Drosophila melanogaster: one gene and its partner. The protein of the gene in region 1 interacts with the protein of each later gene in a pairwise test. Each region holds a gene or a part of one and is shown in the gene's direction. Other genes may lie near its edges.

Evidence for each region. Proteins that work in one complex are often made in the same cells at the same time.
Region 2: the proteins of CG11878 (region 1) and Lamtor1 interact in a two-hybrid assay, tested with the Drosophila melanogaster proteins (one large-scale study listed by BioGRID).

The regions. Positions count from the first base shown.
Region 1 is NT_033777.3:25,272,267-25,275,762, forward strand, and holds CG11878 (uncharacterized protein), read left to right. Parts: upstream 1-1,570; 5' UTR 1,571-1,581; coding exon 1,582-2,647; intron 2,648-2,703; coding exon 2,704-2,900; 3' UTR 2,901-2,971; downstream 2,972-3,496.
Region 2 is NT_037436.4:20,027,295-20,030,614, reverse strand, and holds Lamtor1 (late endosomal/lysosomal adaptor, MAPK and MTOR activator 1), read left to right. Parts: upstream 1-1,594; 5' UTR 1,595-1,662; coding exon 1,663-1,743; intron 1,744-1,805; coding exon 1,806-1,969; intron 1,970-2,236; coding exon 2,237-2,370; intron 2,371-2,429; coding exon 2,430-2,500; intron 2,501-2,555; coding exon 2,556-2,648; 3' UTR 2,649-2,796; downstream 2,797-3,320. Other genes in the region: CG14183 (uncharacterized protein), read left to right, coding at 2,854-3,320.

The DNA.
Region 1 (3,496 bases):
GAAACGGGACTCGATCATCTTCGAGGATATGTCCCTGGAGAATTACAGAGTGGCCGATCGGCTCAAGAAACTGGATCTGGAGCACACTCATCTGGTACTCGAGAAGCTGGCCAATTTCCATGCTGCCGGAGCAGCCTTGGCTGAGCGCCAGCCTGGAATCTTTGCGAAGAATTTCGATCGTGGATTCTTTAACCAGCATACCCGCGGCTACGAGCCCATCATGAAGAATCTTTTGATGGCTTTGTCCCGATCCCTGGAGCTGGAGCCGGATCTGTGTCAGCGTTACCAGGCAAAGATCGATCGACTGGTGGAGAACGTAATGGAGTACGGAGAACGATCGACGACCATTGTTCCCGGTGACTTTTTGACCCTGGCTCACGGGGATCTCTGGACCACCAATATTATGTTCCAATACGACGACAAAGGACATCCCATAAATGCCATCTTTATCGACTTTCAGTTCAGTGCTTGGAACTCGCCGGCCATCGATCTACACTACTTCTTTTCAACGGCCTTGCAGGCTGATATTCGACTGAAGAAACAGCCAGAGCTGGTCCAGTTCTACTATTACAAACTGAATGCTGCCTTGAAGAAAGTCCAGTATTCCGGAAATGTTCCGAGCCTATTCGTCTTCCATCAGCAGTTCAGGAACAGATCCTTCTATGGTGGGTATACTAACGTGCCTGGTTAAGGAATTTATATTCATTTATGTTATCATTCAGCTGCCTTCGCATCACTGATCTTTGAACCAACGATGACGTACACGGGCAAGGAAGAGGCATCAATGGATCAGATAATATCCCTTTCGGAGAAGGGAATGCGCTTTAAGGATGACGCATTTCAGGCGGAGGAGACCAGGAAAAAGATGCGTCTCACTTTGCCCTTTCTTGATCATTTGGGTTTACTAGACGTGATGTAAAGCGAAAATAGTAATATTATTATCGTAATTATAGATTTTATATTTGCTTATAAAATATAATAAATACAAAATAATTTCGATTACTTTCCCTGCTATTACTAACTTTTATTAATTGTGTATGCACTTATGAATGACAATTCACAGGTGCTAATTGTAGGTAAATGTTTAGAAAACATGAAAACGGGACAAAATCCGTATTAAAAAGTTTTCTAATTGTTTTTGTTGATATTGACATTAAAATTAGCTACAGACGACGATACGGGGGAATTCTTGGAAAAACTATCAAGGCAACCCACTAAATTAATTCACTTACTTTTTACGATATTCGATAACAAACAATAAAAAATATTAAGTTGTATTTCTCTTCTTTGGGAAATGTAAAACAAAATGAATTAATTATAAATTTGTTGCGATGAATCTGTATATGGTGATAAGTTGCGAAATTTTGGTTACCAGGAATACTTAATAAAAAGTGCATTGCAAAAAACGTGAGCGTTCGACCAGACTCGAAATTGTTCAAGTGTTGTTTGTCCATGACGAAGCCAGTTGCCACGAGATACTTGCACTAAACTTATCATATATACACTAAAGTTGGCTATAAAAGTGGTCGGACTCCGTTCGCAATGTCGCAGAAGCGAAAGCCCTGAGTTACGGATAGGATCATGACTGAGAAATCTACCCACAAAGTTCACCCAGCGCCAGTTTGGCTCACCTCGGAATATGTGCAGGATAAGTTGCGCACCTACTTCAAGGATAGCTCACTGAAGCTGGCGACGTTGGATACAAAGCCAGCCGTGGCCAATGGAGGAAACTACGGCAGCGTGATGACCCGCATCAATGTGGAGTACACGACCAAGGTATCGAAAGGGAAACAGTCCACCACATTTCTGGTTAAGACCACATTCGCTGACCGGGATCCAGCCGGCGATGTGCTCATCCACTATGGTGTCTACACCCGTGAAATGGATATATACGAGCACATCCTTCCCCAGCTGGCGGATATGGTGAGGAAGGAGCTTAAAGACTCCAGGAAGCTCTTTGCGGCCACCATGAATGTGGACCGCGAAAGGGACTCGATCATCTTCGAGGACATGTCACTGGATCATTACAAGGTTGCATGCCGTCGAAAGAAGCTGGACCTAGAACACACCCACCTGGTACTGGAGAAACTGGCCCTCTTTCATGCAGCTTCATCAGTTCTCGCCGAGCGACAGCCGGGTATCTTCGACAAGAACTATGATCGTGGCTTTTTCAACAAACACACCCGGGCATACGCCCCGATCATGACCAATCTTCTGGAGGCTCTGTCCCGCTCCCTTGCTTCGGATGAGGAGTTGGGACAGCGGTACAAGGCCAAGATCGACAGGCTTGTGGAACGTTTGATGGACTATGGCGAAAGATCGACGACTAGTAGTCCTGGCGACTTTTTAACTCTGGCCCATGGAGATCTTTGGACCACCAACTTTATGTTCCAGTACGATGCAAAAGAGCATCCCACGAATGCCATCTTCATTGACTTCCAGTTCAGCGTGTGGAACTCGCCGGCCATCGATCTCCACTACTTCTTCTCCACCTCGTTGCAGGATAATCTTCGCTTGGAACATCAAACAGAATTGGTTCAGTTTTATTACTATAGGCTGACGGAGGCCCTAAGGAAGTTAAAATATGCTGGTCGGATACCCAGCTTGTTCGACTTCCAACTGCAGTTCCGCTCGAGAGGATTCTATGGTGGGTACAGTTCTTAACTCTCTTTCAAAATAGTTTTTTAAATAATTTATCCGCAGCCGTATTCTGTTCCTTGATTTTTGAGCCTGTCATGCAGTACGAGGGCAAAGAGGATGCTTCTATTGAGCAGGTCCTATCCAGTTCCGAGAGTGGAATGCGATTCAAGAACTCAGTTTATGAATCGGAAAATATAAAAAAGAAATTAAGTGTCACACTGCCTTTTCTGGATCAGTTTGGATTGCTGGATGACATGTAATGATAATCTTGAACTTGTGTAAATAGTTAAAATAAATAAAAGTTTAAGTACTACTACGTATTGGCTCAACTACGTCGTTGCTTTTAATTTCCTGGGAAAATACTTATCTAATAGCTTGATTGCACTTTATGTGTGTAATTCGGCAATAACTGACCTTTTTATATGAAATACAGTGTTCATGACTGATAATAGCGCTTTCGAGTTTATTTCGGCAAGATAGTGCTAAACTCTTGACAAACAAAAGGTGCAAGCAATACTAAAAATCTCAGAAGATAACAATTACAAGCCCTTGAATCGTGGTGAAATAGAAACAATCGCGATACGCCAAAAGATAAGCCGCAGATGTTTTAGCTAATAAAAGAAACTAATATTTACCTACAACAAATAAATACGAATACGAATGTATTTAACAAGTCAAGGTGTACTACTGAGGAAAAAACTTGTAAGTGAATTGTTGCGTCCCCCTTATAACTCATACGCACCGTTGGCCCGCTTATCGTTTGCTTTAAAACGTCACATTTAATATAGTTTTATGAATACAAACATTTACAATAGAACCATTGTGTGTTCTATTTCTAATCTTATTGCTTACCAAC
Region 2 (3,320 bases), on another chromosome or scaffold:
GGTGCTCATTAAGTCGTTAATGTGGTTGAGGTTTTTTGCCTACAGTTCCGCCGAACCACGCCCATCCAGACCAAATGAGCTAGCAGAAATTGAACTTTGCAAAGCCATCAAATTAAATAAATACTGAATATAGTGTTTCCTCACAAGTGAAATGCTAAATGCTCTTAGCATAAAAAATAAATATAATTTATTAAAAAAATTTTATGTATAATGCATAATTTGTATATAATATTTGTTTTCCTGGCTGGTTAGTATATCATCATAAATCTAAAAACAATGGACTTACTCAGCTAATGAGCTGTCTAGATAAAACCCAACATCCTCGAAGGAAATCCCTTAGATGGCGTATCGCAAAATGACGATGTAAGATGCCTATTCCCGGTCGGCAAGCCGCAGACATATGCACCTCCTTAGATGTACTGATCGATATCCTTTGGGGCCGTGTGCAGGCGCAGGATAATTGAATTTGAAGTGAAGCTGCTCCTTGTGGCAGTTATGAAATTTCTAGCCCGGCTTCCGCTGCCAGGGAACGGAAACAAAAGCGGGGCAAAACGAAGTTACAAGTTGCCAGCAAGTGTGAGTGTGCGTCTGGCTCAATATATGGGCATGGTGCCGGGTCTGGAGGTGGCGCAAAGGATCAGGATGCGATGACGAGGCCCACATCAGTGCTGCCAGGAGGAGACAATAAATTCACTTAGGCGGCGGAAACAGAAGAACAAACTGAAGGGAAAACTCAATAAATTAGACCGTATTGGAGAGAAAAACTGTTTTTTAACGGCCATATTAAGTTTTAAATTCTTATGAATCTTGAACTTTTTCACTCTACGTAAGATATTCGAAGAACATCAGCCCATTCAGAAACCCCAATATTACACATTATGTTATTATGGTTTTACATTTTTCAGAGGTTCTTCTTGTGGAAAGGATAGCAAAAGCTGTCAGCACTGCCACACATGCCCCCATGTCATGCAGCCTCGGCAATGAATTTGCGTTTCCGCCTCGCCGCTTTCGCCATCATGGTTAACCGCGTCGTTGATTTAAGGGCGTTCTCCGTTCCTTGCGAGTAGCTGGCGTACTCCGCATCCTTTGTCCTTACTGCTCGAGCGACACAATTAAAAATGTGCGGCCCAATTCATTTGATTGGCACGAAGGAAGCGACGAGATAAGCAACTTCCGTTGGCTGAAATTTTGGCATCTTCATCAATCAAGAATGTGCTCGTTCTCGTGGGCTGGCTGTTGGGGAAAATGTCATATAGGTTGATAGAAAAAACAGCAATATAAATATTTCAAATTAATAATTGATGTCTACCAAAAGCAGTTAAATTTTTTAATATCTTCACAATTATTGCCGATTTCCAATAAAAATATAACAAATTAATAAAGTATAAATTTAAATCAACTTAATTCCCAATAAAAAGTATTTCATAATAAATAAAACAAGGATAACGCTAGGAACAGTAAGTAATAAACTAGTATTCCCTTATGAAAACCCATGAATTTAATGTCCGATTAAAATTGTAATATTTAGCGCCTAATCGATAACAAGTATGTATACAGCTGTTTTAAACTGTCTGGTAGCACTGATCTTATCGAATATGTACAATTCCATCCCTAGAAAAACTTGCATAAAAAATAAAGAACAATTGAACAATTGCATTTAGAATGGAGTATGTGCACTCTGTTTGGAGCTACCTAGCCTCGATCTGCAACTGCTGGCAATGCACCGAAGATCCAGGTGCGCAGGTAATCCGCACATTCCCCTTTCCCCGTCAACAGACCGAATACACAATGCGTTCCATCTGCAGCCCAACGAGCCGAACGAGCGGACACACCTTCTCGTGGACCCGGTGAACCATAGTCCTGCCCTTCGACGGAGCAACTCCGATGGCCTCAGCACCGACTACGCCCACTCCCTTCCCAAGAAGGACGATCAGAACGCCCTCTCCAGACTGGTGCAGAATACTGCGATGTACGTAGTTGATAGTGTATAGGGTCCACATTTGGCACTATCATATACAATTCCATTGATTGGAATGCTAGCATTTTACAGCGATTGCTATACTATACTATACTATAGTAGTATACCTACGTAGTTATAGCGATGGCAGGATCTAGTATGTAGTATGGTTATACCCAAGCATTTATCGGGATGTTCAATGCAACAAAGCAACACAGCCCTAATTATCGCTTATCTATATTATATTTGTATTCGCTTATACGCTACTTTGCTCTCCAGAAACATGATAAACGTTGGAGCCATGGACTGTCACAGCCTGGAGCACCAGGAGTACGCCGATAGAATAAGATTGTACTCGCAGCGGTTGCATCAACAGTGGAACAACGGCCAGCACGCCAGTATCGCACCAAAAGGTTTGCAATATAGCTAGATTGAAAGGGTGAATGATGACTAACAATTAAATGAACAACAGGTCTCCTTAAAGATGTACCAAGCCATCAGTTCTATCTGTCTAAGCCAACCTATCCAGATGACACTGCTCAAGTGAGTTTTACTTTTCGCAAATTGCTTGTTGCTTACCAATTTCGTATGTTTTTAGATGAAGCTCTTCACCGAGAAGGCACACATCAGTGTCTCGCACATACAGATCGACCACAAAGAGGCCGTGGTTGTTCCCTTCCGGATTCCCTGATTATCGTATCTTAAGTGAAATAAAGTGATAAATTTATATAAAATCAAAATCTATATTGGTACTAAGTAGCCCTTGAATAACCAGGTAATCGACTTATTTTCATTAAGTGTACAGAAGCAAATAAATACATACTATATTCTTAACACGGCAAGACATTTTTTTTATTTAGGAAGGCACACACACACACATATAGCTAAAATCCAAAATGTCGTTCGATCTTAACCATAAATTTTGGGTCTACACGCGCAAGGAAATTGGTAAATTAATCAAGAAGCAGAACCGCCTGAAGAAGATTGAGCCGCCAGAGGAAAAGGCAGTATCGTATAAAATTTACGCAGAGCTCTATGTTTTGTATGTGGAGCTGGTCAATAAGTTAAGTTTCATATACCACAATACTTTCCAAGTGCAAAAGCGGGCATTGGTACGTGTTTTGGTGGAGAATGCCACTCAGCAGCTAATGCAACTCAAGGAGGAGTTAAAAGACTTGGAAATGAGCGAATACATTTACATAGATAAGGCGCTGATCGCTAGGAAGCTAACACCACGGGACCTGGTCGTATGGAGGTCACCACAATTCCTTTACCGTCGCCCGTTGGACATTCAAAATATCATTGCCGACAACCGATTGTACATGAACGATGAGGAAAAGGAAGAAAAGGCAGCCCAGGATTG